2 linked regions of the Diceros bicornis minor genome follow. The protein of the gene in region 2 purifies or fractionates together with the protein of the main gene of each other region. This does not show direct contact. Links are inferred from orthologs where the notes say so. Each region holds a gene or a part of one and is shown on either strand. Other genes may lie near its edges.

Region 1 (16,843 bases), on a different chromosome or scaffold from region 2:
TCTTTTTATTAAAATAATTTTTAAGTTCTTGGTATATCTACATTTAATGTCTACCTATTCCCTCATCCTTTTGTTTGTAAGATATTTCAGGATATTTTAATATTACCTTTTATTTCTTGATTATTCTTAGCTTAGTCTTTTTCCTTTTATTATTGGCATTATAATGGTCAGCAAGGTGAGAAGCTATGAGGATGACACAGAGAGAAAATCGCCCCATAGACAGGGCGAGATGGAGTTCTTCCCTTGTCACAAGTTGCCTCTTAGTATTTTTAAATGTCTCCCATCACCTTCCACTCTGACTTTCTCGTAGAATTTATCCAGATAATTCCAGAGACCCACAAGCGAAATCTGCCCAGGATGATATGATTCTACTTGTGCAGACATTTAAACCCATAGATTGGGATTCTCTTCTCTTATCAATTAGCACACGGTACCTTAGACATCACAGGGTCTAAAATTTATGGCTCATTATTTATCACACTCATATTTATTGAGGACCTACTCTATGTCAGATACTGTGCTAGATGCTAGGGAGTCAACCAAGAATAAGAGAGAATGTGGCTTTGCCCTCACAGGGTTTACAATCTATTGGGGAAGCCTGAAAGAAAATTAACAATGGCAATACAGTCTAAGTGCCGAGCAGCTGACGTTTAGTGATTGGTTACTATCCATCATGCACGATGCTAAATAGTCTATATAGATGATCTTATATGTGCTTTAAGAACATGTGGGAAGAAAAAAAATCCTAATGTGGAGGATCTGGAAAAGCTTTCTAGAGGAAAAGATGTCTAAGTTAGGGATCGAAGATGTCTAGGAATTAGCCAAAGGAAGTAGTTTAGAGGAGGGGCAGAAAGTTCCAGGAGGCAACAGGATGCATGGGGCTGCTAAGGAACCCAAGGAGGCTCGGACTTGGAGGAATGTGATGTGTGTGGTGCTGGAGAGATGAGGCTGGAAAGGACAGGGAAGTGTACATCAACTAGAACCTTCTAATTCATGTTATGGGATCTGGGTTTCATTCCAAGTGCATTGGGTAGCCATCGGAGAGTTTAAACCAAGGAGTAACATGTCAGATCTGGGTTCTAGAAGGATCATTCCTTCTAGGACAATCCTGTTCTTCTAGAACAGCAGGGAGAACAATCCATAGTAACAGAGACAAGTTAGGAGGTGCCTGCAGTAATCCAGAAGAGAAATGGTGGTGGCCTTGGGAACAGAGAGTGGGGAAAGGAAAGGGTGGATGGGATAAGGAGATACACAGCGGGTGGAACTAACAGAACTTAGTTTTGGGTGAGCTGTGGAGGTGAGGAGTCAAGGAAAAACATCCAGATATCTGGTTGTGCAAGAACAGGTGATGCCAGTGCCAGATAGAGAAAAGAGTGGGAGGAGAATATTTGTGGGAAGAGAAAACGGAAGATGATGAGTTCAGTTTGGGGCACACAGTGTTGGATGTGCCCATCAGCTAGCTGCAGAAGAGGATCAGCAGGACTTTGGATAGGTAACAGCTGGCTAGTGGTCAGCAAGGAGTTGGATATTAAAGTCAATGAGAGATGAGGTTGCCCATGGGGTGAGAAAATTGAGGAACATCAACCTTTCATGGGACAGAATGGAGAGGAGGAGCTTGCAAAGCAGAAGAAAGGAAGGAAGGAGAAAGGGACGGGAGGATGGAAGGAAAACATTGCTGCAAGAACGCAGGAGTGCTCAGCAGAGAAGTCAGGTTAGAATTTAGCAAGAATTAGCAATACGGAGTGTGAGCATGAGAGTGTCCCAGAAGCAGTGGAGGCAAAGCCAGATGTCTGTGGCCAAGACGTGGAACTAGGAAAGAGCCGCAGGTGGAGAGGACCATTTAAAGAGTCTGGTCATGAAGAGGAGGAAAGAGAAAACGGAGAAGCCGGAGGAAGGCATAGAAAGCTGGTCTTTTTCTTCACAGAAGGAATGGATTTAAGCATGATAGACGCAGTGAGAATGGAACCAATAATGAGGGCAGGAAGGAAAATGCAGGTGAGGGAGGAGGCAGTCAAGACAAGGAGGTTCCGCAGAATGAGGAAGAAATGGGTTCCAGAGCACCAGTGGAGGAGGAACATGAGACAGGAGGGGAGGCTTTTTCTTTTTCTTTTTTCCAATGGAAAAGAAGGGAAGGATGGGAAGGTGGATCCAAATAAAGTTAGGTTTGTGGCCCTGTGGTCACAGGTCAAGTTGTTCCCATCAGGGAAACTTCCATTTTCTCAGTGAAGCAGGAAGCAAGGCAACATGCAGAGAGTGAGGGACGGTGGAGGCAGGAGAAAGTCTGAAACAGCTGCCATAGAAAGCAAAAGAGAGCTGACCACAGAAAGTCTGAGAGCCTGGCTGAAGTTAGAAATCATGGAATTAGAGCATCATGAATTTGCATAGTTGCATAATTCTGTCCAGTAGAACCCATCAACCTCTGTATGGACATGGGAAAAGTAAACAGGTGGATTTGGCTATCGTCCCCGGGACCCCAGCTTTGGAAAGGAAAGCACACCATCTCACATGGCACCACCAGGCTTGTCTTCTCCCGGCAGCAAAGGGAAAGCTCCAGGGCAAGAAAGAGTGGCCGTCACCATCTTTGTCAGCTTCAGGCTGAATGTTCCCTGGTCTGTATAATCAATATGATTTCTTTCTAAGTGATCTAGTTTGTAAGAAGCTGATAGAGTATATCTCAAAGCACATATTCTTTCTAACACATGTGGAGTATGGTTATAACACTTTCTCTGAGGAACTGTCTTCCCCAAACAGCCAACCAATGAACAAACTTTGGGAATATAACCCATGAAGGCAGAAAAAGAATTTTAAATTAGGAGCCAAGAGATCAGAGTTCGCTGCTAGTAATTTGCTGTGTGACCCTTGATCAAATTTCTTAACCTCTCCAAGCCTCAATGTCTCCTCCATAAACCGTGAATGATCCACCCAATGCACAGGGCTCTAGGAGTGAATGATCTCATGTGTCCAGGCACTTGGAAACAGTGCATGCTCAACAGATGTCCCTTTCCTTTCCATGTCTCCTTCCTCCCTCCAGCCCTAAGCTTATGTGATTCTATGTAGAATCATGCTCTATGTAGACTTAAAGCAATGGTATAAAAAGCCAAATGCCATTAGTCTATAATTTTCAAACCTTTAGGTATGAAACAGATTTAATATGTCCCAAACTCCATGACACAAAATTTCATGAAATAATTGCTCTTGCAACATGAAATGCATTCTAGTACTTTCTGTTCTATTTCATTTTTAAAGATATGCTTGTCACAACTCAATAAATTAATTTCATAATCCAATGATGGACTGTGTCTTGCAGTTTGAAAAACACTGTGTAAGAGGCTTGTTTGTGCATCATTGAAATAAATACATAAATGGACCACAGAATGGAGAATGTTGAAAGCTGCTATGCTAAAAATGCTAGACAGACTGCTGAGATGACCTTCTTCCAAAATGGCAAGAAGGACATTGCAGTTTACTTTCGTGAAAGACTTGGCTTCTTGCTCACCTTGGCTGTGAAGAGTCATCTCATCTGACCATGAACTCGTAGCCCTTGGTTTGCTTTGGAAACTCACCCCTCCCTTGGCAGCACTCTCCTCACTTTAGCCTCCACTCAGTGGAACAACTCAGATGGTTGGAGAGGGGAAGGAGGATGGGATAGCCAAGGGAGGTAAGGAGTCTGCTCTTTGCACTTGTAACTAAAGAGTAGTTGCAACCACATGCTTTGAGGTGGAAGCCTCTGGGCTCACTCTGCTCTATTCCACTCACCGGCTATATTCAAACCGAGCGTTCCTTTCCTTCGCTAGGACATCATGCTCAAATGCTGCTAGGCCATTCTACAAATGCTGTTCCACCTTCTGGAATGTCTTCACCTGGCTCACTGCTACCTACCCTTCAGGTCCCACTGGGCCATCTGGGACATATTCTCAGACACTCCAAGTCTAGGTGCTCCTGTAGCACCGTGTATGTCCCTAGTATAGCACCTATACCTTCATTCTGCACTTATTCACTGAGGGCCTGCTGTGTACCAGGCGGGGATAGCTGGCCCTCATGGAGTTTACATTCTAGAGGAGAAAAAAGACAAAGTAAACAAACAAATACGTAGTATAACCGCACACTGTAATATTATAAACTGACATATAACAATATAAACACACGATGAGACCAGCACACTTCACTGTGATTCCCTATTTGCTTGGCTGCGTCTCCGCCGCGGGTTACACCGCGCAGTGCGTGGCTCTGCGGCTCCCAACAAAAGCCTGCTGGATTCAAGCATGGCCACCCCCCTTTTGGTTTTCTCCATTGTCCTGGGGATTTGTCTTGTTTTGATCTCATACAAGAGATAATTCAGCCTTTAACCTCCCGCAAGTGGTCTATTCCACACATTTAGACTTATTAATACTAACATCATCTTTACTTTATTCTTGACAACTATTTGTTTCCAAATCACCACGCCCTTCATGTAGGTAGAGGCAACTCTACCTAGAGGGACATTTGGTTTATCTTTTAGAAACCTTCCTGTCCATGGTTTCCCTAGTCCTTCAGGGGATGCTTGAGTAGTAGTTCCTCCAATGATTCTGCACTAGAGAAAGGTACATAAGCACAAGGCGAGGTAGGAAAAAACGATGAATTCAGAAGGAGCATCAGCCCACAGACCCCTGACATCAGTCATCAAATGATTTCGTAAAAAGTTAACTGGTTATCACCTTACATCCATTAGGATGGCCACTATCAAAAAACAGAAAATAACAAGTGTTGGTGAGGATGTGGAGAAACTGAAACCCTTGTGCACTGTTGGTAGGAATGTAAAATGGTGTGGTTGCCATGGAAAACAGTATGGTGGTCCCTCAAAAAGTTAAACATATAATTACCATTTAATCCAGCAATTCCACCTCTGGGTATATAACCAAAAGAATTTAAAGCAGAGACTTGAAGAGATACATGTACACCTATGTTCATAGCAGCATTATTCGTAAATCCATGGACATGGACACATGTCCATGGACAGATGAATGGATAAACAAAATGGGATATAAACCTACAATGGAATATTAGTCAACCTTAAAAAGGAAGGAAATTCTGACACATGCAACAACATAGATGAACCTGAAGGAGATTATGCTAAGTGAGACAGCAAGTCACAAAAAGACAAATACTGTATGATTCCATGTAGGTGAGGTACCTAGACTAGTCAAATTCATAGAGACAGAAAGCAGAACGGAGGTTGTCACGGGCTGGAGGTGGGGAGTGGGGAGTTAGTGTTTAATGAGAGAGTTTCAGTTTTACAAGATGAAAAGAGTTCTGGAGATGCATGGAGGTGATGGTTGCACAACAATGTGTATGTCCTTAACGCCACTGAACTGTACATTTAAAAATGATTAAGATGGTAAATTTTATGTTACATGTATTTTACTACAATTTAAAAAAATTTTAATTCATAGGTTGTCCAGCTTTGCGGTTTATGGCAACTGCTTGATGCTCAGGCAAACCTGACTCTACTGCTATAAGAGCTGGGCAAGTGACTTAACCTCTCTGAGCTTCAGTTTCCTTATCTGTAAAATGAGGATGAGGATGATGATGATGATGAGGATAATGATAATATCTAATTTATAAAAGCTTTGCAAAGATTAAATAAGGTAGTAATGTTTGTGAAATATAAATAAAATTCTGAGTATAATATCTGGCACATAAATTATAACAAATAATGCATCAATAAAACCATGCTTTATTACTTTTGTTGGCTCGATTATTATTATCATCGATATTATTAGCTTAAATCAAAAGTTAACATCAACCTATAGTGACCTGTAGAAGTATGTGTTGCCAAAGTGAGTGTCTTTAAAATATCTGCTAATTATATCTCAAGGCAGAAATCTATGATTCTGGGCTTAGAGTGAGCTATTCCTAATTTCTGAAACCTCTGATTCTCATTTTGCCCCAAGGATATTTTTAGATGACACAGCTATGTGAATTTGTATATAAACACTTGACACGTTAATGTAAGATGTTTCCCTTATTGCAAGAAAACATCTTTTCACTCACCTTTTGCCTCACCATCATGTTTTTCTATGAGTTTCTCATGATTGCTGCCTCAACAGCCAGAATACGTATGAAAAAGCAAAGCTAGATGCATTGCTGCTTGAAAATGAGATAAAGTTTTAAAACAATGGACAGAAACAGAAAGAATGAATTTAACGCTACGTACGTCACCACAAGACTAATTTCCCTACGTTTAATGACAGATTTGATTTGGGGCAATAAAACTATATAAATATGGAATCACGTGATGCATTTGTGTTCTCTGGTATTTTTCATCATATAATAATTTTTTTATTTTACATGATTTGGGGAAATTACCTGAAAAAAAAATGAAAGATCGAACCCTGTAAAAAGGAAGTCACTTGAAATCAAATATACCCTTATTAACAAACAGTCACATTAGATTAAAATATCAGCAATATTTTCAGGGGCAGACAACATAAGCAGTAACTCCAAAACATGAAATGCATTAAAAACAGCAAGTACTAACTCTAATTCCTATTCTAAGGGAAGGCAAATGTACTAACATTAAATACTGTATTATAAGGAGATTTGTGGAGCACTACTCCTGCATGCCACTCACAGATTTGTACCATAAGCCCTTACTCTCGAAAGAAAATCCCAGATCCAGCCTACAGGGAATTTTCAATAAAACATCAAATTCATTGTACGGAAGCATTTTTTCTTTTCCACAGAACAGAATGGAATGAAGAACCTTGATAGAAATGACCAAAGACAAATGGGATATTCAGGGGAGCCTACAGTACCTGTTAGGAACACGAGAAATCAAGTATTGGTGTTAAAAGGCATCTTTGAAATTAAAAGAAGGACCAAGGTGTGAATAATGGAACAGTATCCCTGCCTACGAGAAAGAGAAGTGGGACATCAGCTAAAGAACCCTCAGTTCCAGTAGTTGACCCATGTATGTTCAAAGCAGACTCAATAAAGGAGTTTCTCTCCTAGGGAGGTGGACTTGGTAGGAAAACGAACGAAGAAGTTTGCCCAAGAGCCGCTTGCCATCCCGAGCCACCATAGCACAAGACAGTGGCGGAAGTGAACATGACAAAGCGGAGGGTGGTGACGAGAGTCCTCCTTGGAAGTTTACATTTTAAAAGTTTACAAGAAAATCACAGGAGGCTAAAACAAAGGCGGGTGATGCCGAGCAGGTTACTCTTGAAATCAGAGATAAAAGTTGGTGAAAGGAAAAAACACACACAAAAAAACAAAACCAAACAAAACAACTTAATTTAGACTCATTTGCTAACTTAGAGGAGTTTCGCAGCTGAGGCGTTGAATGTTTTAGAAGCTCTTCCTATGCTGCATCTTTAAATAAATGAATGTTCCAGTCAGCAGAAGAAAGAGAGAACAAGATCATTCTGTGGCAGACACCTGCATCAGACAAGAGCCCTGGGCTCCTCTGAGGCAGTTTAAACAGCTGTGCATAAACTTCAAAAGTAATTTGCAACCAAATTAGTAAATGTCACCCTTCTTCCCACTAGACACAGCATTTTTAAAAGATACTAAGCATAAGCAGTAAGCCTGCCACTTTATGAGAGTTACCCAAGATAAGTTAGAGAAAAAATGAAGATGGTGATTCACAAAGTCAGGGTGTGCGGTGGGAGTGGGGGGCACGCAGGACCTTACAAATAGGATTTGTCTGTATTCAAACATCTTCGTCCAGGAAAGGACCGGTGGTGGTCACAGCTTCTAGAGGACAATGCAAGGGGATAAATAACGGAGTGGAGCTGCCAGACTTGTGTTCAGAAAGCCCACCCGGCACCTGCGGACCCGCGCACTACCTACGGTGGTTCATTGTCATCAGTGACAGGGAGAGAGCAGCGAGTCCTCATTCTTCTCTCCATGTCACCACCCCCCTCCCTGTCAGCTCGTGCCATTACTGAATCATCTTTTATTAGCACCACTCTGAGCAGGGTGTCTCCCAAGGACAAGGCAGCTCAGTGGCACTATCCTTGCAGAAATGACCAGAATCTCCCAGCGCAGTCAGCCTTTGGTTCTCTCTTCATTCATGCCCATGCGGAGTGCCCAAGCCTTTAGCACCAACAGTTTCTTTCACATTGATAATTGGGGTTCTCAAAAATCCAATAAAATAAAGATATTTAACTCTACTTTCTTAATATGTGGCCCTCAGAGCTGATAATCTCAGTCAAGGTTACAGGATTGAGCGCCGGACTTTTTTTTTTTTTTTTTTTTTTTTTGGTATTTATCAGACCCGCGCCAGCCTACCCCAGGCCCTGGAGAAGACACTTGGTTTGTTTAGAAGTGTGAGTGTTGGCAGCCCTGTCCGCTGTTCTAGCAAATTCCAAGAAAACAAGTTATTCTCCTCTGTGGACAGGTTGCCATCGCATCAAACATCTCTATTTACAAAGGTTTGCCAAGAATATAAAACTTGCCGCCGCCTTCTTCCCTCTCTCTCTTCCCCATTAGTTCAGGTGAGAGTAAAAAAAAAAATCAAAAACAAAAACAAAAATCGAGAAGGAAGGAGGAGGCGCCTCCGGCCCCAGACCCGGTGGCCACCCCACGACCAAGGTCCGCAGCATCCTGCGCAACCCGCACACAAGAACCCACGGGAAGCAAATGACCAGAAGTTTGCTGCGCTCGAGTGTCTTTTCGATTTCGCTCTCATCCTGCTCCCCTCTTCCTGGAACACCTCAAAGCCGGAGCTGGGTGGGCCTCGCCCCGCTAGGCCGCGATCTTGGCCCCGCGCAGACCCCCTTCCCTTCCCGGGCCGGCGACGCGCGGAGGGACGTACCTGCAGGGTGGGCTGCCGGTCCGGGCGCGCGGCTGCTCGGCGCTGGCGCGGGCACTGGCGGGGCCGGCGCAGGGCTGCGCCCGCGGGCGGCGCCGGCCAGGGGGCGCTCGTCACCCTGCGCCCCGATCGCCCGAGCGGGCTCCCCGGACGCCGCCCAGGAACCCGCAGCCCGCGCGCACCGCGGTGCCGAGCGCCTCCTCTCCGCCTCTGTGCCCGCCCCTCGCCTCCAGCCTCGCTCCTTCCTGGCGATTCGCGCTCCGCTGCGCTACAACCAGGAGAAGATGAGGATGGGGTACCCTGGGGTGACGATGCTGAAGGAGGGCCCACAAGGGGCGCCTGGCATTAGCCACATGCTGAGCGCAAGGAAAAGGAAGCATGAGACCGCCTGATTCTACATCTAACCAAACTGAAAACCCAAAACGATCCTTCCAGTGGGAAGGATCAGGGTCAATCGGTAAAAAACGTTCCGTCTGTTCTGTCTGTTTTTACACCTGAAAGTACTTGTGAACATTGCTCTTTTAAAATTACCTGCCTGAGAAGTCGGTGCAGTTCTGTCCGGTGGATAATCTTCTCTGGTTGTGTCCTACTTATGATGTTGATTTTCTGTTTCTGCACAACTGTCTTTATAATTTATATATAGTTTCCAGAGGTGCACACTTTAAACTTGAACGCCCTTGAAGCTGCAATGTAATGCTACAGAGCATTGTCATTGGAAGATTTTTACGCAGTGCTATTGGTATTAATGATCGTCGTGAACCAGGATCATTGGGGTGGTTCTTGCTGTACTCCATAGAATTAATTTTTCATTCAGGTTAGTAAAACTATATGCCTGGTTACCAATACTATGATAGAGCTGTTCCCTTTCCATTATGACATTAAATGGTTAACATGCACTTGGTTAAGTCTTTTGTGGCTATAACATAGTAAGACGGAATTAGTCTGAGAAATAAAGCAATAATCTCTTTTTTTTGAGAGAGAGATTAAAGTCTATGAAAGAGCCAAACCTCCGATTTGTAGGCTTCTGATCATGGAAGTACAGTGTTAGCTGAAAAGGACCTCAGTCTACAGCTAGTTTTTAATTTAAAGATGAAAAACTGAGGCCCAGAAGTGTTTGATATGATGACTCTTTCCCCTCATCTATAAGAACTCAGCAAAGCAAACACACACTGCTTTTAAGGACAAAAAATATGTTCCATGAAAATTAGCCCCTCTCTCCCATTTGTTAATGTCTAACAGCATTGGATGGACCCTCAGGCCAGGATCATCCAACAGAGAGGCTGCCACCTCTTGGAAGATTCTAGCCAGGAGGTGTGAGGGTGGACAGAACCTCAGATGCGCCGGCTCACCAAGACATCACCAGAGCCTGGCACTCAGTAGGCACTCACTACTTGAGAAAGAGATTAAGTACATATAGGGGCTCAAGGGAAATTCACATGTCCTTTTAATTTAGTCAATAGTCAGTGGCTTTAACAAAGGTTTCAAAAATGACGATGATGATGATGATGATGATCGTGTCTTGGGGCAGGCATTATGATCAACACTTTCAATGCAATATTCATTTAATCCTCATAACAATCTTAGGAGGTAGATATTATATCCTCATCTCTATTTTGGAGATGAGAATAATGAGATTTAGAAGGATTATGCAGCTTGCCCAAGTTCCCACCGTTAGTAAATTACCAGACCAGGATTCAAACTCAGGCCAGTCTGAAGCAGCCTGCTCCAGCACTATTGAATACTGCCTCCGTTCTAGAACCATTCCCTCCGTTCTCTGCTTCTCTCTTCTGGACAGCCGGTCTCTGGAGACTCACACAACCATGCTATTCTATAACCATGTAGTCCTACAGTTGGAAACCCATTCATTTGAAGACTGGATCTTTTAAAACAATATTCATCATATGTCTAGAAATGGGATTTTTTTTGTTTATTTTGAATCTCATCTAAAAGAAAATAATCCAAATTTGTTCTTGATGTGTGCTAGACGTTCAAGATACCTCTGGGTCTTTTGACTCCAGCATGCTGTGCTGCCAGCCTTCTCTTTCCTCGGGCTACAAGGCATTTCTGTTTCATAGTAGACATTCTCTCGTTGTTTTATCAACATGGCTGCTGCTCAGAAGTCCTCCACACCTTTGTTTCCTGGAAGAGGAAATGGCATTTCCTGGAGGGGACTACGTGTGGGTGGTGAGGTTCCACTCACTACGTTACACACACTCGAACTTTCAGTTTTGTACTTCTTTTCCTCCTTCAGGTTTTGCCCTAAAGTTTCCTGGAATCGTGCTGAACTCAGACTGTGGGCAGCCGCTTCAGTTCACTTCAGCCAGGAAAGATGTGATTCCTACTTTGGATCCAGAGCTAAGAAATAAACGACTCCCATGAGTCTTGTCCCTGGAGATACTGCAATCCATCTTCCTTCAGCCTGAGATTTGCAAAAGGGAGCCTGAGACGACACTTTGCTTTCATTTTGGATCTAGTTGACAATTATGCTCTGTCTCTGAAAGAGACCACTTCTTGCGCCCTTCTGTGAGGTTAACATTCCATGAAGGATTTAGGAAAGAAATTAAAAAGAAAATGTCCTTAGGAGCCCCAATTTGGAGAAAGATGGTATTTGGGGAGAAGTAGGATATGACAAACACAGACAATTTGAGCACAGGATTATGTAACAAGGACGCCTCTGTCTGCAGAAAATCAGCACTCAGAGGAAACCAGGTTGGGCTATTTCATGAGGAATTTGGCTACCCAGCTATCCACTTTTTCTAAAGGCTGGCAGACATAGTTTTTAAAGTGGTCCTCCTGAATCCTCAGAAGAATCAGCATGGAATATCAGAAGACAATGATCTACCCTAACCAAAGACTTGAAAAACATGCCGAGTCTAGCATCAATTTATTCAGAAAATGTCAAAATTATTCTAGGAGCTGTGGGTCAGAGTGACAGAGGCACAGACAAAAATACAGGTATTTTAAATTCACAGCTTGGACAAGGGAAAGAGAATTTTTTTTCCTCTTCACTTCAACTTCGTGTTGTCAAGTGGGAAGAAAAGATAATTAGAAGTTAGAAATTGTTATTGTGAGAAAGAGCTCTAAACCTGAAGCAAAAATTGGCAGTCTCCTTGGGGAGTAAATAAACCTTGATTCCTGCTGGTAATAAGATTGATATCAACTCTTCCAGACCCTGAGAGGGAAGGTGAATGCTGAGGGAAAAAAGGGACAGTGTTCATAACGTGATATTTGTGAAAGTTCTGTTGTTTTTGTAATGCTTAGTAATGTTAAGCTAATTTTAAAATTTTAGACAAGGTAGGTGGGGAGGTAGGTACAAAGTCTTCCTTTAAGAAAGAGGTGATGAGTGAACCTAATACTAGCTAATATTTGTTGTGCATTTACGACGTGTATCAGGGCCTGGTGTTAAACACTTTATTTCCATCATTTCATTTGATTCTTACAACGAATCCCATGAGATGAGTAATGTCCTCTTCATTTTACAGATGGCTGAGTCCTAGCAGTCAAACAGGTGACTTGCCAGGCTCATCGAGCCAATTGGTGGTGGCGGTTGTGGCTTGACTCCCAGTCTGTTACCCTCAAATCCCTGATTTTTGCATCAAACAGAAACAAGACAAGAAGTGAAATTATAGCCTGACTCTTGAAGCAGTAAAAGAATTGTGTATGTTTGTGGATGTCCCGGTGAATAAGGTATTCTAAGAAGAAAAATGTTAACACATGTATGCATGGGCAATTTGTAAATTAGGGTGTATAAAATGCCCACTTAATAATACAACCATGGAAAACAAAATTTAATCTTTAATGATGCATAACATTTAGAGTAGATCATTTTTTTCCTGAGCATGAATTATTATTACATTATAAAAGAATGAAATTGAGCATGAAAGTGTTCCTTTTATTTTATTTTTTTAAAAAGGTAGGGGAGTTATGCAAACACAATATTGTCTTGTTTTGGTCGTGCCTTCTGAAATCCTAAAGGCCTGATTTTTTTAAGTCATCACTGCCAATAAAGAGACTAATTATAAGTATCTGAATCAGTGAATAAGATATGCAATGTTGTTTTAACATAGATGCAAGATAACACAATAAACTTCTGGCGTGTTTGTAAGTTCTAAGGGTAGACTCAGGATGGGGGGAAGGTCTGATATTTCTAAGGACTACAGATACAGTTCTGGATTGAGTGAGTCGAGATATCAGCATAGTGAGTGTGGCCCAAATGAATACAAATTTTTGTCTGAAATTAAAGAGATATTGATTAGATAGAATAATCTATACAGCCCACTTTTTAGTGATTCTCTTTCAGCAGCAGAAAAGCAACAGCAGCCTGAAAGTCGGAAAGCTTGTACAGCTTGATGAGAATTCCTCCCCAGGAAAGTTTGATAAATCTGAGAATTAATCTGTGAATCCAGGAGGAAGAAATCAAGAAATCAAGCCTTCTGTCATATTTATAAATTTGATTATTGCAATTCTACAATTTGACATAGTACAATTGCCCTTGGATTTGAAAATCTATCAATGAAAGCATATGACTTTAGCCTAAACCATTTTGTCTCTCAATCTCATTTTTAACAAGGCACATACCACAGTTGCCCCCATCACGCCCTTCTCCTTCAGTCCATACCCCTCAAATGCGTACTGTATATGGTTTATTCTGCCATTCACACACACACATACAAACACACACACATATGGAGGGAGGGGATTTTTCATTTTACAAAAGTACGTTGGACTACATGGAATATTCTATCAGGTTTCTTCCAGCTATAAAATTCTGAGAATAAGTGGACATTGAGAGTATTACGCTAAGTGAAATAAGTCAGAGGGAGAATGTCAAATACTGTATGATTTCACTCATAAGTAGAAGATAAAAACAACAACAAACAATCACATAGAGACAGAGATTGGATTGGTGGTTACCAGAGGGGAAGGGAGGACGGAGGAGGGAGAAAGGGATGATTAGGCACATGTGTGTGGTGATGGATTGTAATTAGTATGTGGTTGGTGAACATGATGTAATCTATGCAGAAATAGAAGTATAATGATGTACACCTGAAATTTATACAATGTTATCAACCAATGTTACCGCAATAAAAATATAAATAAAAAAATTAAAAACAAACAAAAAAAACTTCTGAGAATGTCAATTAAAAGAAAGTTCTAGTTGTCAGTGATGGGGAATGTAACAAAATTTGCTTCTGGTCGTAGTCATTGTTAATTTAACATATTCACTGGTATAAAAAATTTTTATTACTGTCAAGGAAGTCATGCACTGATGGCCCAAGAAAACACTGAACATCATTATGCTCTTCTTTGTGTACAGTTTTCCTGTCTACACCGTAGTTTCAATCATTCACTTTCAAGTAAAATTCTTGTGGAACAAAAACCTAAGGAATTTCTTTTTTTCTCAGTGGTTAGAACATGGCCTACAGAGGCTGAGTTGACCATATTTGGCTGTTGTGTGAGTCAGTTCGACGCGCTCTGCTTCATGGTCTCGCCAACCCAACCCTCTCACCCTTGAAAGGTTTGTTTTTAGCCCCCAAATGGCAACCCTTGACACCGGTTGTTTTTTTAAACTTGCATTGACTCATATGTTGTAAGTAGATTCGAGCAGATGTTTTCTTCTTCTTTGTTTTCTTTCTTTCTGCTTATCACTAGGCAGAGTCAGCAAACAAAAGAAGTAAAGCTCTACATTTGAGATTCAGCATATAATTCAGAGAGCAGATGTTCAATAGTTAAGTAATCATCTAGCTTATATTTGTACTTAAAACAACCTTAAAATAATGAAAAATAAATTAATCTTTTTACACCTCATGCTAGAGCTTGATGGAGATGTTATGCTCAAAAATCGAAGATATGTGGTATCTGTTCGAAATTGGAAGATATATTTATTTTTCTAAATAGATTATAAATGTCATGCATTATTTCACAAATCCTTTCCTCTACATGTTTGTATTAAAATTAATAAAAGGGAGATATTCATATTACATCCTGCCAATTTCATAGCGAAGACTGAGTAGGTAAGGGCTCTCATGTGCTTTGATCTCTATAAACCTTAGGAAGAGGATGCTGTACGTTGAATGATCAGCTGCCCTGTATAGCCCATTTGTAGTGGTATGTTACTTATAGGATCTTATTTACCCTCGTAATAATCCTATAACATAGGTGGTGTTATTCACACTTTACAGATGAGAACACTGAGGCTCAGAGAGGATAAATAATTTATCCAAGATCACATAGCAAGTGAACGCAAGATCCAGAATCACAACCAAGATGGTGCTCATTCAGACCTATGCTGAAGTGTCTAGAGAATTCTGGCCACCAACTACGGAGGCTAACAGTAGGGATCATATTCTGCATGCAGGTTTTGAAAAATAAGGCTTATTATTTTTCCTATGATAAAAGTTATGCATTCACTTGCATGCACACACTCACATACACACACATCTAGAAATTAGAAAAAAGGAAAAAAGAAAAAGATTACCCATAATTCCACAATCCAAAGACAATTAACATTTTGGTGTATTTCTTTACATTCTTTTATCTACGCATAATTTTTGGAATTATTTTACTTTAGAAATAACTTTTTCTGGTTGCTTGATGATAAAGTAATGAAGATTCATCATAGAACATTTCAAAAATATAAAAATGTTTATAAAAGAAAATTGAAATCTCTTAGAATCTCAAAATATAAAGATAACTGTTCTGGTATCTTATCCTAGTCGTGGCTGAGGGCATGGATCTTGACACTGTAGCTAAAACTATCTACATCGTACAATTTGTAGCTGACAGTTCATAGCACATTTTTTAATAGTTTGATTTTCACTTGATTTGTTGATGTTTTTATTTTTCAAAGAATGACAAATATGATTTTTAGGCAGATGTTTAGAATGCTCTGGGTGCTCAAATAGGCCTAGCTACTTTGCTTTTTACTAAAGGACGAAAATTACTCCCACACAAAAAAATACCTTAAAGAATGAATAATGATACTGTTTGTCTGCCCTTATAACTCCACAGAATGGCTTTATTTTTTTTCTTCAAATGTAACTCATTTTAAGCAGTTTCCGCTGCGCAGGGAAAGAAACCCAACCAGCTCCCTGTTTACTCACTGGATTGTGCACTTTTAACTAGAGGAAAAGGCTTTTGGTCAGGCTAAAGCAACTGATACTGAAGAATAAGTTCGAGTGTTACGTAGATTTGAGGGGGCTGCAGAAATGTGGATTAAATTTTAATCACACTAAGAATGTTTCTCTCTAAGCAAACGACAAGAAAACTGTTGCTTGAGAACCTTTATGTCATGTGACCTGACCTGCCAAGGGAACTTAAAACGACTTAGAAACTTAAGATCTTAAAAGGCTTCTGGGTGACACAGCAAGGTGCAGCATATTCGAGCCACCACAGCTCTATTACCAAGCTGCCACTTTTCCTAGGAATGTAGTGAGAACCCAAGCTAAAGAAACCAAACAATAAATCAACTGAAAGTCTTTAAACATAGGTCCCTGAGGGTATTATGGCCTTTTGCATATTCCACAGAGTGTCAAAGCACTAAGAAGAATTAAAAAAAACAAAACTATTGCACTTGTGTTATTTCCCCAAACCTCTCTACGTTTACTTACTTTTTGCAGGTTCACACTTTCTCTTTTCCTTGCCATTTCATCTGGATAGAATGGAGACCTCTTCCGCGGTCCTAAACTTAAATTCTTCCTTTTATTTCTTAGCTAAGAAAGAAAATTCCAGAAATACCATGATCTACTTTGTAACTCCCTGGACATAGTGAGTCCATTATGTACATTATGGGGAGGATGTGGAGAAAGTGGAATTCTCATGCAAATTAGTACAACCTTGGGAAACTGGCAGTATTTGCTAAAGCTGAGCATATGCATGCCCTGTGACCCAAGCATTCCGTGAGTACATAACTCACAGAAATGTGTACATATACATGCACTAAAAGGCGAGTAAACGTATTCATCACAGCGCTGTTCACAATCCCCCCATGATGGAAACAGCCCAAGCGTCTATTACCCGTAGAATGCATCAACACATTGTGGTACGTCA
Region 2 (16,075 bases):
GAAAGGGGCCAACAGTATCATCTACACTGAATGCAGTTGATTATGAAGGTCCTTAGAGTCTCTGCGGTTCTTTGCCTTTTGTAGGCGAAAACACAAAACCTGTGTATAAATGTGAGTGTATTATAAAGTGTAGAGGGGGGTGGGAGACACATCTTCAGACTGCTAAGAGCTACCAACAGGTGCTACAGCAGAAGTGAGCTGGAAGGCCAGTCTATGAAGAAGCTGGCCCAGATTCCCAAAGTCAGCCTTCTTTTAACTACTAAGGGAAACTCACAGGAAGGCAAGAGGTACATTCAAAGCCTTAGCTCAGAAAGCTGGCTCTTGTTATCACGGCAACCACCCACCAGGCCCTTGTGGTATAAGGGGGCAACTGATAATAACCTCCTCCTTCCTTCTCAGGCCCTGCCCTCCAAGATGAATGTTTCAGAAAGGAGTGGCAAAGCTGGGCCCAAAGAGATCCTAGGGACAGAACCCAGGCCTGAGAGTCAAAAGATCCAGGGTCTGGCTGTAGCTTTGCCCCTGACTCAACAGCGTTGACCAGTCTATGCTGAGAGGGCTCTGACCTCAAGGCACTCCCTCAACGGACACACTCAACGGACACAGTGGCCTCCAAACTCACCCACAGGGGCTCAGGGGCGAAGTAGGTCCCAGTGTAACTCCCTCATCCTTCACTTGGTAAATGTGTGACACTGGGCCCATTCCTTAGCTTCTGGGTCATTAGCCATAAGATGGAGATGACTCTACCCCTCCCAGTGCTGTCAGTTTAAACGAGATGGAGTGTCTGATACAGAGTGAGCCTTGAGTAAATTACAGTAGTATCATTTCCTTTCTCTGGCTCTAGGTAGATGCTGCTCTATACATTTGAATTGCCTTCTCTTCTCCTGACTACCTACAGTCTTCCTGCTTTCAAGATTCTGATTAAGTTCCATTTCCTCAAGAAGCCTTCTACCACCTCTGAGCATTCAGGAGACAATATGGATAGAGCACCCAGCACAAGCGGCACAGGACACTCTTGATAAATAGTAGCCATCATTATGGCCACACAATTTAGTGCTTATATTTAGACTTATTTGATATGTTCCTAAGTCTCCCTTTTACCTCCTTGATTAGAGCACAGGCACATTAAGGACACATCATCTCTTCTTCCCTGATGGATCCCTGATGGAGCTTAGGCCAGCACTCAATAAATTCTCAGTGAACTGACTGACTAAAGTCTTTAAGACTTCAAAACACACAGATAAGCTGAAGTGAACTTATTCCTGTCCAGTGAGGGTACAAGTAAAGTCAGTACTACTTCCTAGAAGGGATAATTAACAATACCTTACCTTTTCCATCTTTGTAACAGCCAGTGCTTACATCACCTCATTTCATCCTCACACGTATCCTTTAGGATCCAAGGCAGCACTTTCCAGCCTCTTTCACATCAAAGTGCACAGAGAATATGATATTTGCAAGGCACCTGGGATGCTTCCAGATGCTTCCAGAGAGCAGCCGCCCCATGTCCAGCCCAGGCATGCTTAGAACCAAGGGGATCAATATCTTAGCATCCTCCAAATCCACGTGGCAGGTTGTGGCCCAAAGCCACGAAGCTGGCAATAACAGCCAGAATTTGAACCCAGGTCCGTGTGATTGAGAGCTATGTGTTTTTTCCCCATTAGTCCCAAAAGGTGCTGCAGGCTGAGGTCACTCAGGTCATCTCCTTTTCTTCTTCCTTTGTATTTAACAAAGACCTTATTGAAAATACCAACCTATCTAGACTCGACTGATCCTTGGGCTGAAGATTTAAGGGAGTGCCAACATAGCAAGGATGGTCAAGGCCCATGCTTGCTAAGAGAACCAAAAAACTCAGGAAACGGGTGGGTCATTTGTTACCCTGCCCTTCTTCACTGGGAAATATTTATTTTGGAGTTCTTGTTTAACAAGGAAGACTTATATATTTGTCCTCCAAAGGAAAGTTTTCCCCTTAGTGCTTCAAAATAGTTTAGACAGACTGCGGAGTCCTGAGAATGTTCTAGGGGCAACCCTAACCTTGGATTCCACACAATGGAGAAGTCACAAGCCACAGTGGAGAAAGCGTGAGGTTGAGGTTGGGATGCGGATAGATGTAGGTTCAGATTCCAGCTCCCTCACTTACTAGCTTAGCATCTTGGGGTTAACCTCTCTGAGCTTCAGTTTCTTCAGCTATAAAATGGGAGTAAAGACATTACTTCCTTTTAGGGTCAGTGTGCTGACCACCCCATCCCAGCTGCCTTCTTCAGAGGCTTTGAACAGACGGGTATCCATCAGAGGACACACTGCTCATGTTCTGATCCTGAACGTCAATTAAAGAACCTCCCCTAAGCACCCCAAGCAGCCCTAGGGATTTCTCCAACAGAGGAACACCCCAAGAGGATGCTGGAGAGCTGCCTGGACGGAGCCAGGCTCAGCAAGCGTGCACTCGGCATCTGTGAGCACTCGACTCCTGCCTCTCCCTCAGCCCCTCCACTTTCTGTTCCACCACTAAGGCCTATCAGTTTTACCCCTAAAACAGCTCTTACATCTGCCCACTCTCTCCATCTGCACCACCATCAGCCTGTCCAATCTCTCACCTGGACTACCCCAAAAGCCTCATAATCGGTCTCCTCTGATGACAGGGCAGTCGTGGTGTCCTAGTACCAGCCTCTGAGAGCTGACTTAAATATTCAGGAATTCGGTGAGAACTGGTTGTGAAACTGTCAGTGGCTTGAAATGAGCCATGATGGGAGTAGTTACCTGTGGAAACTGGTAAACATTACCCAACAGGGCGTTTTTTCCGAGAGCTGATTTCCCAGCACACCACTGCCTGGGCCCCTTCCAATCTGTCCCCACAGTCAGAGTGGACCTCCCTTCAACAGCTTCCCGTTGCTCTTTGGATGAAAACAAAACCTCCTCAGCAGGGTCTGACTCTTGCCTTCTACACTCCCACCTCCCTTGCACCCGGCTCCCCCTGGCCTTTCATCCCCCCACACGGGGCTCTGAACAGGCTGCCCCTCCGCCTGGAACTCTCTTCCCACCTTCTCTGCACGGCTAACTTCTACCAATCCCTCAGGTCTCTGCTCAAGAGCCACCTCCTTGGGGAAGCCTTCCCTGACCCCCGACTGATGCTGCCCCCGGTATAGGGTCTCACTGCACTGGGCCCCTCTCTCATGTCCCACTCAGCATGGTTGGGAGTCTACAGGTGTAATTACTGATTAATGGCTTTTTCGTTTCCAAAAAGGTCTTTATCAAAATCATTTTGATAAATGATTTTGTGCACCTAACACATGTATCACATAAAGATAGTTGCTATGGGAAAATTGAAAGAAACCCCAAGCCAGACAGCCCTGGCTGACCAGGAACTTAGAGCCTTGACAAGATACACTCCTACCCACACACAAAAAGGCAGTACATGAGGCACGGCAAACGAGGGGAGCTGAAGGAATTCAATGGAAGACTAATGCCCACGGAATGAAGGAGTCCATGACGGGTTTACAGAGGAGGTGGTCTACAGCCGCTCCTGGAGGAACGGGCAGAATTTACATAAAGCTGTTCAGGAGACAGAGGCTTGTCCCAGAGAGGGCTCAACCGACCAACCTGTTGGGAGCCAACAAGGGAAGGTAATGCTAGAAAGACAGGGTGATGGGCCGGCCCCGTGGCTTGGCGGTTAAGCGCACGCGCTCCGCTGCTGGCGGCCCGGGTTCGGATCCTGGGCGCGCACCGACGCACTGCTTCTCCGGCCATGCTGAGGCCGCGTCCCACATACAGCAACTAGAAGGCTGTGCAACTATGACATACAACTATCTACTGGGGCTTTGGGGGAAAAAATAAATAAATAAAATTAAAAAAAAAAAAAGAAAGACAGGGTGAGGCCAGGCTGTGGAGGGGCCTCAAGTGGCAGAATGAGGAATTTGGCTTTTGGCTTTTTAAAAATAAAGAACAAATGAAAGTTTTTGAATAGAGGAAGGAACTTGAAAGTAGTAATTTAGAAGACTAATACATACATACACACACACACTCTCTCTCTCTCTCTCTCAGGCTCATATCTATAAAGCCAGAAACACATTTCATCTGACAACAGCTTTCCAAGCCCAGAGAGCAAATGGAGGTCATTTTGACTTAAAGATGACAGATACGTGGCGCATTCGGACAGAACTCTTTTCAAAGGAAACCGAGACGTCTCTAGCGCGGCTGCAGCAAGATATCTGCTATAGTCAAGACTCTAAAAACCCTGGCCTATTCAGAAACAGTCCAGCCCAGGTATATGTAGGGCTGTAGAATGATCTGGCTGCTCTGTTAAAATGCTAGGCTCCCAACTATACTCTGACTAGAACAAGTTTGAGCCAGTTTTGTTTCTTAGGCCCCCTCAGCCACGGGGTTTGCTGGAAGCCTAGCTTCCCATTTGGGTGTGAGAATTACCGCCTGCAGAACTGTACTCTGCCCTCCAGCTCTGGCTCCCTATTTCTCTAGGGGTCATTCGATCTGCTCAGAGCTGGCAGCACTCAAGGCAGGGCCTAGAATGTCTTCCCACTAAATGATGACGGTGGATGGATGGCTGACTGGAATGACCCTCAACATGGCTGATCAGTAGCCTCAATGACCCTCCGCGATTGCTGCAGCCAGGCTCCTGGGAAGCAGCGTGTGATCTGCCATCCCTTCAGTCCAAAAGGTGCTCAGCCGCCCTTGGTTAAAAAGCAGGCACCTTCCTTCAAGGACTTCAGTGGGTCTGAAGTTTGGGTCAGGAAGCTACTATTACGTATTTGGTGAGTGAGGGTTCCCCAGAGCAGTGGTCTCCAAATTGGGTGTATGCACCCCAGGGGTTACCCAAGACTGGGATCCAAGAAAATAAAAAGAAATTAAGCTTTTCTGATACTAACTGTATGGCACCCTCCTCATATCATTCGTCAGAAGGTCATGTGCCAGTTCTGGTACTCGAGGTATCCTGAGGAAAATGGGCGTTCCACTGGCAGGGGGTGGACAGGGGCCTATGGGGACGCGATGCGGATTACATGTGCCCCACTGAGGTAGAGCTACGGATTGTATTATGCAATTTTAATAAAAGAACACTCATAAAATGGATGAGTGGCTTAAAGAGATTTCCTGCAGAGAGTTTCAGTACGTGTAACACCTGCACAAACAGGAATATGGAAGAAGTGACACTTCTAGTGTGAGAAACTCATGTCAGACACATAAGGAATAAAAACAACGAGGAACTAACCAGATCTAAAAAGAAATTGGTCCAAATAATTCAAAATTATAAAAATTATTTGAAATACAGATTTTCATCCACAATCCTTAACGATAATTCTCACTTTCACGTAGATCAGAATATTTTGTGCTGTGAAGTATTGTAAACAATACTGGGAAGACATTATAATTGGTAAATATTTAAAATATTTTTAAAATTAATTTTTAAAACAGTTAAAAAATTTTATTATTCTCATCCTTTAAATTTTTATTTTTGTGTTTTTTGTTTTGTTTTGTTTTGTTTTTGCTGAGGAAGTTTGGCCCTGAGCTAACATCCGTCGCCAATGCTCCTCTTTTTGCGTGAGGAAGATGCACCCTGAGCTAACATCTGTTGCAAATCTTCCTCTATTTTGTATGTGGGCCGCTGCCACAGCATGGCCACTGACCAGCAGTGTAGGTCCGTGCCTGGGAACCGATCCAGGGCCGCTGAAGTGTAGCATACCAAACTTTATAGCATGTAATAGATTAGTACACAATAGATTAGCACATGATAGTCTAATATTAGGACAGATATATAACTTAAAATATATATAATTGAGGCTGAAAGCTTAAATTTTTTTACTATTTATTTAGGTGGCATAGTCAATAAAGCGCAGAGACCACTAACCCAGAGCCAGCTTAGCAGCCCTGAAGCCCTCTTCCCAGTCTCCCTCTCTCACTCCTTCCCAAGAAGCCCATGGCCAAAGGTGAGCCCCATTGACCCATCCAGCACCACGTGGGGTAGAGGCAGCGAGAGGGGGCCTGTGTTCCCCACCCCCAAACCCTGCCGACCCTGGCCCTTCCCAGCTGCACAGAGCCCCTACCTGATTGTGCCATCGGATGACGTTTCCAAATCCCCCTGTCCCAAGCCGCTCTTTCATTTCCCAGGCCCCACATGTCTGGGTTGGCAGGGAGGGTGACCAGCTCATACTGATGCGGTGCTAACTCTGTAAGCAATTCGGGGTGGGGACAAAAGGTTAAGGTTGAGACAAAATGCAACTCTGGGAGACAGGGACGGGGAAGGTGAGAGAGACCACTGCCCTTCAATGTGAGAGAAGAACCTGAGCTGATTTTCGTTTTGTAAATAAACCAGTTTCTCTGTTTGGGTTTTTGGTTTTGGGGGCAAACTTTTGTCTTGCTCATCGTCCTCCACCCCCACCTCAGCGGCTGTGGAAGCACGGAGGGAGGAAAGCCACCCAAAGGAGATGACGGCCCACAGCCCAGGACCTCGGCGGGGGAGCCCAGCCTGGACTCCAGCCAGCGGCGCGAGCCCCGCGGCACGCCGCCCGAGGTGCAGGGAGAGCCGTGAGCGTCCCCGCGGTCACGTGTCTTCACACAGTCCCAGTGAATCAGGGCTCTCTCCCAAAGCCACCCACCTCGAAGCCGCCCCCTGGAACCACCTGGCCAGGGCTGTCCCGGGCCCCCGACTCCAACCCGACGAGAGGATCGCTTCCACGCCCGGAACCCCACCCCCCCCCGACTTTCAAACTCCACACAAGTTTCTTCAGGAGCCTCAAGTGAGGAGGGAGGTGCGAGCCCGCCGAGGCAGAGGCGACGCGGGGTCTGCAGGTGGCACCAGGACCGCGCCGCCCGAGGGACTCACCTGTCGGCGGGGCCGCGGGGCGGGGGAGCGGCTGCCCGGGGCGGGGGAGGCAGGGGCTGGGCGGCACCACTGGGGTCTCGGGCACCACCCCGAAGACATTAAAATGCGGGAATCTTAAACCTGCCAGCGGAGCGCGACTTCCTCAAACACTTCCTGCTCTGACGTCAAGAGGCACGTGGGCCGGCCGGCCCTTAAAGGGGCCGCGGGGGGAGGGGGGGAAGGTGGGGGGTCAGGCGACGCCCCGTGCCCGCGCCAGCCGGCCGCGCCCGGCGACCCCCGCCCAGGTGATCCCGGGAGGGTGTGCGGCTTCTAGACAACTCCTGTCGAAGTTGGTCAGGCTGTGCTCCCTGAGATAAAAGAGCAGTCCTAAGCTGAGCCCTAATATGCCCGAGTCCCCTTTAGACAAATGACTTCAACCTGAGCGCTTTCTGGGACAGGGGAGACGGGGATTTCCTCACCCCAGCCCTCCTGGGGTGAACTTGACACCGCTTCCTAGACTTTTAACTCGGTGGAATTTCCCGCGCCCCCGCTGGGATTGATTTGGGGACTATTTACAAGAAGTGTCGTTGGCCTCCTGTCCTCCTGCTGCGCTCCCCTTGTCTGGAGGCTTTTTGGCTCCGTGTCAAGAATGATAAATCAAAGCTGTACTCCTTAGAAGTGACAGCCCCTTCTCCCCCCTTGAAAAAATAAAGAAAAGGGGGGGAAAATCTAGTAGTGTGACACTAAAGCACGTTTTCAGCCCCAGTGATGTAGGGAAATTGTGGCAGAGGCTCTCAGGCCTGAGATGAATCTTTCCTCTCCCATCTACCTGGCATTGTAATAAAGTTTCTATTGAGTTTCTCTCTATGGTGTTATATTAGCAGACTAAGGAGTTGTGTGTGTGTTAGTATATTTACGCTAGCAGGACAACAAGTATTAAAGGAAACCTGAAGATAAGAGCTCACACGTATAGAGTGCTTACTGACTGCCAGGCGCTACCTAAACTCTGTACTTAGGTGTCCTCATTCCATCCTCAAGGCAACCCCACAAACTGGACAATACTGCATTATTATTATCCCCATTTTACAGATGAGAAAACTGAAGCATAGAGAGGAAAAGTGTTTATCCCAAAGTCACAGGCTGGTAAGTAGATGATCTGATATTCAAACCCAAGCAGCTGGTTCTTGGGCCCATGCTATTAACGTGTGGTTAAAGCAGCATTCTAAGAAGTTCAGGAGGCAAACTGGATGCTGAATCCAGACTGCTATTGATTACCTCTGAGACTTTAAGGCCAGTTACTTAACCACTCCAAGCGTCTGCTTCTCTCCTCTAAAATGTAGGCAGGATTAGGTTGAATGGCATGAAATTGTCATTTTTTTATAAAGCAAAAACAGTCGAAACGCCAGCAACAAAGATCAGCAGTTTTCATCTGGTTCAGCCTCAGAGCAGCAGGAGGACAGGAGGGCACGCAAGCCAGAGAACAGAGGCGCCAGCGGGGTCGTTGTGCAGGACAGATGAGGTAATGGCTAGAGCCATGCTTGACACAGAGGATGCTCCTGCCTGAACAGAGCCCCGGGCTGAGGCCAACATATGTCAACCCAAATAGATGGGTCCTCCATGCCTGCGGCTACCCTAGGCACTTTGCGCTCCTCGGTATTTCTCGATTTACCCTATTGTCACTGCCGAGTAAGCACACTCAGCCACAAAGCAGGAAGAGAAAGGAAGAAGAGTAAATAGTTGTAAAGCATGTAGAATGGTGCCTGACATACTCTAAGTGCAATGTAAGTGTTTGTTTAATAAATACATCTTACAAATAAAACATATTTATTGAGCACCTGTGTGATTTGGGCCCCATGCAGAGTCTATTTCCTGTAGGACATCATGAAAGGTTTCTCTTTAATCCTGTCACCTCTGAAAATCACTGTCCCTGAGAAACTTAGCAAGACATCCACAACGGTTTGCTCTGCACCGCTATAATTTGAGTTCTCACTTGCTCAGCTCAAAATAGTTTGGTTTTCAACTGAACATAAACTTCTCTGATAAGGTCATATATTACTAGATTTTTTTTTTTTTTTAATTAGTGATGGCTCAGGAAGGAGCCTCTGGGTTTTATCATGTCCCAAGATATTTATCATCTTAAGCCTCGTTTTCCCCCCAGATAAGACATGTCCACTGCCTACATCTGGTCTCTATCCTGCTCTAGAGACATGAACAAACTGTTTGCAAAGAGTATTTTCAAATGCAGCAGAAAAATATTCCATTTTCTTCCTGCTCTGAGGCTGAGTCTGCTATTTAGCAGTGACTACAGGGTAATCAAGAAATACTGAGCAGCCTAAGTGCCTAGCACAGCCCTGAGCACGGCTGACCCAGGGGAGCCAAGCAATGTAACTCTCGTCAGAGGCGCCTAGAGTCTTCCTGGGGACACAAGGCCCACAGAGAGCCATTATGTAATGAGCAATAAGGACGACTAGGCCATAAAAACAATCCAGTGCTAATTTGTTCTGCTGTGGAGGTAGGACAGTACTAGTGATAAGGACAAAGTTTCTAAGGGGTTTATTTTAAAATAAAATCTTCTTCCCAGGGTAAGACAAAGATAACTGAGTAAGCTCAGTCTTTTCGTATCATCAGTTGAGAAAACTATTCTCTTACCTAATAGCAGCAAGCAAAGCAGCACTGAACTCCTTTGAGTGAGGAGAGGATTGTTATCTGAAAGTCTGGGATCTGAGTCATAGTAAGAGAAACAGCTTAAAAGATAGGAAGGCAACCAGACCGTTTGGGATCGGGAGGATTTCCCAAGCCCCCCGGCCCCCAGAGAGTCAGCTCTGGTCCAGTGATTTCAGCAACTCTTTCATTATCCTTCCAGTTTTATCTCTGCCCTGCAGAGAGGACTGAGCAAGTCAAGACTTGCTCCTTCAACAAACAAAAATTCTTCCACCAGAAAAGCTGGAAAACTTGTTTAGTTTGAAGACATGAAGAAATCCACCTTCTTCTGGGGGAGTTGGTGGGAGATGGGGGTGGGCTGGCAGAGACTGACAGTGAGAATGAGCCCTCTTCAAATTAAAGATGAAGAAGTCGCTAAAGGACAGCTGCCCCCACCTTGGCCGTGGGGGCAGGGAGCTGGTGGATACGGGCTGGTGTATATGTTTCTGTCACAGGCAGGTATGTTTTGTAGCTCACCTTAGTTCTGAGCTGCTCCTTTTGCTCCTTGGGGGCAGAGATTGTGTTCACTGCTGCATTCCCAGTGCCTGGTACATCATAGGTGCTCAACAAAAATTTATTAAATGAGTGAGTGAATTGGCCAGTGCAAAGACTGGTCATGCTGCCCTCTTTGGCATTTGGTTATATGTGGTGTCTGGAGTCTCAGAGACATGGGTTCTAATCCTGGCTCTGCATTTTCTTGGCTTGGGGAACTCAGGCAGTTTACTGAACCTCACTGAGCCTCCGTATTCTCATCTGTAAAATGGGGGCTAATAAAACTTACTCATGGTTGTACAGTGTAAGTGAGATTTTATATATAAAGTGCCTAGTGCATAACCTGGTGCGTATTAAGGCCTCTTTGAATAGCAGTTGTTAACGCCTTGTTTTTGTTTTTTGTGAGGAAGATTAGCCCTGAGCTAACATCTGTTGCCAGTCCTCCTCTTTGTGCTGAGGAAGACCGGCCCTGGGCTAACATCTGTGCCCATCTTCCTCTACTTTATATGGGACGCTGCCACAGCATGGCTTGACAAGCGGTGCGTCCATCTACATCCGGGATCCAAACCTGGGAACATTTGGGCCACCAAAGCAGAGCTGTGCCACCGGGCTGGCCCCAAAGCCATTGTTTTAAATGCAATATTTACTAAGGTGTTTTAAATGCAATATTCCAGAGGTAAGCTGCAATCCCCATTCTTTGTGATTCAAAGGAAATAGGCGCAAAACTTTCCCTCACTTACAGTGAGAGTCCCCATGTCCTTCACATCTCACATCTCTCCAGGAATTTGGTGTAAGAGTGCTGGTGTGTGATGGTGGGTGAGGTGGATGATATGTTTCTTAGTTACCTTGGATTCTCAGCTCCTACTTTTTTTAAGGGTCCAGCTTTTTATTTAACTTGTTTTCAAAGAGATTTAATCAAAAAGACTGAAGCCCAGGGGCTGGCCCAGTGGCGTGGTGGTTAAGTTCGTGCACTCCACTTTGGCGGCCTAGGGTTTGCAGGCCCGGATCCCAGGCATGGACTTCCGCACCACTTATCAGGCCATGCTGTGGCAGGGGTCCCACGTATAAAATAGAGGAAGATGGGCAGATGTTATCTCAGGGCCAATCTTCCTTGGCAAAAAGAGGAGGATTGGCAACAGATGTTAGCTCAGGGCTAGTCCTCCTCACCAAAAAAAAAAAGACTGAAGCCCATGGCATCATGGGACTCCTCAGATTCCTCTTTCTTTGCTCCCACTCTTTTTCTTCCACAGGGACAGCAGCAGTAGGGGGTGGGATGGGGGCAGGACCTCCTGCTGGGGCAGGGCCACCAGCTGCTACGTTGCAGAAGAGGCTCCTGGTATTGACATCGGCCAGCGTCCTTGCCAACAAGCCTGGCCAGAAAGGCTCAGCATTTACACCAGCTACTTTAAAGAGGACATTGATCTTGTCCTCTTTGACTGTCACTGCATTGTTGTATGGGATGTGGGCTGAGTAGTGTCTGGGAGGAAGACATTTCCCGTCTACCCTTCTTGTGTTCTTACGGCTGGACTAGTAATAAAATTGACATAAGACCAAATTAACAGGAAAAAAACCAATTTAATTCATGTGTACTGGAGATCATAGATAAATGATGCTTGGAGAGTGAACAAAGCAGGCAGAAAGATATCTTTTTATATAAAGAAATAATAAATTTGTGAGGAATGACAGGACAAAGAAACTTAGGTTTGAGGTATGTAATTAGTGAGGAATTTAAATAGAGTTTAGGCTTGAGTTAGTAAATTAACAAGGTTTGTTTATGCTGACTTCTCGGCCCGGCATTCCCTAGCTCTGGTGATAAGGATGGAGGGAGAGCACTTTTTCCATAGGAGATTGATTTCCTGCTTTCAGGGGGGACAGAGACAGGAGGGTCAGAATGTCCTTTTTGCTTCTCAAGTGACATTAATTCAAAATAATCAATATGTCATTGTGGGATACTTTGGGGTGGCCTGCCCTGGGCCCCAACAGTTGATGCAGGTGAGCTCAGAGACTGAGGCCCTGGTGCTGGCGTGTGGCAGGCTGGCAGCTGCCCAGCACGGTGCTAGTCGCCCAATGAAGTGAGAGCCTCACCCCAACGTGGCCTTTGCTTCCTCAGAAGGACCGAGTACCTTAGGGGCAGCTTTGGAAAGTGGGCTTTCACTAATTTCAATACATGTTAGTCTGTTTATTGCCTGCCTCCTCCACTGCTCCTATTCTCTGCCCCACCCTCCACACATCACCTGGTGCTGGCCACAATGTAAAATAATAATAACAACAGCAAACATTTATGGCTGCACAGCAGGTACCCTATAATTATTTCTGTATTGGGGGGGTCTGATCACTTTATGGGTCATTTTGGAATCCTGGGCTCGTGGACCCTGTTCTTTGCCCAGGCATGGAGGTTAGCCCTTTTCCTGAAATTCATCCAAATAGTCTTTCACAGAAAGATTTGGTATTTCACAGACTTCATCAAAGGTTTGGAGAGATGGAAGGATTCACATCACAGCGCCACAGGTGTTTCAAAATTAAGCATCAGACAACTTCTGTTCAGAAGTTCCCATTTCTACTACCGGGCCCTAGCCCCCACTCTCCCCTGCCCTCTCCTGCTCAGCTCCTCAAGCCTCCTGCCCCTGGACAAGGAACCAGATCCCTCCCCATTTCTAATGCAGGGCAGCTAGCTCTCCTCACCACAACCCCAGCCTCAGGCAGAACCCGAGCAGGCGCTGGCAGCCAGGGACTCAGGTGGCCAGCACAGCTGTCTAACTTCCATTCGGAGGCCCCCTGCCTCAGGCGCGGCCCAAACCCACTCACCAGCTCACAAGCTGCTGCTTCTCAGGCTGACGTGACTTATTCCAGATCCTCTGTGACCCCTTCTGGGTGAGTGACCAAAATCCTGGGCTAAACAGGGGCCATCTACACTGTGTAATTTCTTTCTCTGTCCCTGCCCAGCCACCACCCTCTGTAAGAAACGCGACCTGTGGTGATCTGATGTGAATTATGCATCCTCTTAGAAGACAGAAACACTGACAGACTGTTTTGGTCCTATGTGACATTGTCTTCCTCTCTGCTGCTGCCACTACTAACTGCCCATCTGAGTCACTTCGCACTGGGCGAATGGGTGGGTTTTTGAAGTGGGCAAAAAATGGCAGGACCAGGAGGGATGATTCTTAGGGGGAAAAAACTGTAGACCTCTACTCATTTTATTACCAGAGGATGTAAGATAATTTAAATACATAGGTAATCTCTCTACTTCATTTTGGTCATTTTAAAATATCAGGTTTATAGAGGAATAATTTACATACAATAAAATTTACAAGTTTAAGTGTACAATTTAATGTTATTTTACAACTGCATATAGCCTAGTAGCTATTGTGAGAATCACCCTATAGAATATTTCCATCACCCCAAAATGTTCCCTCATGCCCCCTTGCTGTCAACCCCCTCCCCTACCTCCTGACCCCCAGCCCCTGGCAACCACTGATCTACAGTCATAGTTTTGCTTTTTGGCCCATTTTGATTATCTTTGTAGCCACCATTTTGAGAGAACTGCTGAGGTGTGGCTGGACCGCTGGGTTGGGCTGGATTTCTCATCGGAGGAGTCAGAGGCCAGAGATGACCAAACCACTTACCCGACTGGGAAGGGCCGGGGTCAGCGGCTGCAGAGTAACGCCGGGCTGAGCTAGCTGAGGCGGGAGGGACTGCTGCTCTCGGAGCCTGCAGCGGCCGTGCCAAGAATGAGGAACAGAGAGAAAAGCGGAGAGCCAGTGTACTGTTCAGAGGAAGGAGGGGGGAAAAGGCCCCACAGACAGCTGAGGTGGGAACCTTAATTCAAGGCCTAGGTGTGTTGCAATTCAACTATCAGACCCAAATCCATCCGGAGCCTGGGCTGCTCTCAGCACTTCCTCTTGTCCCACCTACCTGTCCAGTCCCAGCATCTCCTTGCAGCAGAAGGCTGCGGGCCACTCTCAGGGCTGCCAGATCACCAAATAGGTAGAGTGGATCTTGGTCTCCAGGTCACCTCCCTTCCCACCTTAGGGCCTGGGGGCTCTATCTGGGCGCATCACCTAGCTCCTCTCTCCCCTGGGCCTCTGTCTCCAAGTTCATGCCCTTTTCTATGAGTGGGACCCCTTGTAGGGGCTTTTGAATTTTAGTTGGAAGAAGGAAAGGAAGGAAATTAACATATGTTGAACATTTTTTACCCCAGGGAAGGAAAAATTCAAACAGCAAGAAAGATACAAAATGAAAAGTAAAAAATTCTCTCTCCAGGTTTTGATTGCTAGTCTGTCCCCCAAAAGCCAACATTGTCAAACATTTCTTGTATCTCCTTTGTAGGAAGGAAGAGAAACTATTGTTTTAAAGAAACATAACATGTGCATGGCTCTGCACCTTCCCATTATCACTGCATAACCCTTCTTAGAGCTCTTTCAATGCCAGCGTATACATTAATTTTGATATAATTTCAAACTTATAGAACATTTGCAAGAATAATAGAACGAACTCCTGTACACCCATGACCCAGATTCACCAATTATTTACATTTCACTCCTTTTACTTTATCATTTTCTCTGGATCTATCTATCCATCTACATATTATTTTTTCTGAACCATTTTGGAGTACATTAGAGACATTGTACCCCACACCCCTAATTACCTGTGTCTATTTGCTAAGAATAGGACTTTCTTTTACATAATCACAGTTCAATTATTAGAACCAGATATAACACTGAAATAAAACTATTACTTGATTCACAGTCAATAATTCTGTCAGTTGTTCCAGTAATATCCTTTATAGCTGCTTTCCCCCAGTCCAGGATCCATCCAGGATCACATATTGCATTTAATTTTAATTGTCTTATCTTTTTAGTCTACTTTAACCTGGAAAAATTCTTCAGCCTTTCTTTGTCTTCCTTGACCTTAACATTTTTAAAGAGCACACGCCAGTTGTCTTGTAGAGTGTACCTCAATATGGGTTTGTCTGGTGTGATGTTGTATCTTTCTCAGTGCACCCTCTCAGGACACACATGTCATTTTATCCCACCCATTACTGGTGAGGTTAACTTTGATCACTTGCTTAAGGTGACATCTGCCAGGTTTCTCCACTTGTAAAGTTACTATTTTCCCTTTGTAGTTAAGGTGATTTGTGTAAATACCCATTCCTCATCAAAGTTTCATCCACTTGTTTCAACATCCATTGATGATTTTCTAACTCTATCATTCCTTCTAGTTTGTATTCTACTGTAAAGAAGAGCTTTCCCATCTCCACCATTTATTTATTTATATGAATATAAACTCTTAGATTCTTATTTTATTCAATGAGTTATAATCCAATGCTATTATTTCTATTTATTTTCATGCTCAAATTGTCCCAGATGGCCAGTGAAAGCCACTTCATGCTGGCTCCCGGATCCTTTTGATATGTTCCCATGACTCTTTGAGTATTTCCTTACATTCTGGTGCCGTAAGATGTTCCAGGATCATCTTACACTTTCTGTGCGCCAGCCCTGGACTCCAAGGTGTCCTCGTTCCTTTTAGTGGGTAATGGTCTTTGGAAGCCAAGCTGAGGGTGCTAGTAGCACGTACATTTTCACCTGACTGATTATCAGCTGGGTATCCTTCTGTTGTGCGTATCTAACATGATTCATGTAACCACCTGCTCATGGACATTTGGAGTGTTATCAGTTTTTTGCCATTACAAACCGTGCTGTTGTGAAAATTCCTGCACATATATCTTGGCTTACATTTGGGAATATCTCTGCAGAGAAAATTTCTAGCAGTGAAATGCTGGATCAGGTCTGTGCATTTAAAAATGTGATAGGTGTGTCCAAATTTCCCTTGAAAGGGTTAAAAAATTGTCCTGATTCACACATACTCCCATCAATGACGTATGAGTGTCTGCTAACCCAAATCTTACTAACCCTAACTCTGAATACTATCAAAATTTTTAATTTTTTGTCAATTTGCTTATGGTTTTGAATGGATTTCTTGTGTTATGAGTGGTATTGAATTCTCTTTTTGTTTACTGGCCAGTTATATTTCAGACTCCCTGGTCAAATCTTTTTCTCATATATATACATTCTCTTTATTCTT

Evidence for each region.
Region 1: the proteins of IKBKB (region 2) and PRKCQ purify together in Homo sapiens (affinity purification with western blotting; 4 studies listed by BioGRID). This does not show direct contact. The link is inferred for Diceros bicornis minor from reciprocal best matches to the Homo sapiens genes IKBKB and PRKCQ.

Annotation. Positions count from the first base shown.
Region 1 is NC_080775.1:7,743,581-7,760,423, forward strand, and holds the start of PRKCQ (protein kinase C theta type), read right to left. Parts: upstream 8,837-16,843; 5' UTR 8,798-8,836; intron 1-8,797. UniProt on the Homo sapiens protein: Calcium-independent, phospholipid- and diacylglycerol (DAG)-dependent serine/threonine-protein kinase that mediates non-redundant functions in T-cell receptor (TCR) signaling, including T-cells activation, proliferation, differentiation and survival, by mediating activation of multiple transcription factors such as NF-kappa-B, JUN, NFATC1 and NFATC2.
Region 2 is NC_080768.1:39,330,576-39,346,650, reverse strand, and holds the start of IKBKB (inhibitor of nuclear factor kappa-B kinase subunit beta), read right to left. Parts: upstream 6,963-16,075; 5' UTR 6,824-6,962; intron 6,168-6,823; 5' UTR 6,150-6,167; coding exon 6,045-6,149; intron 1-6,044.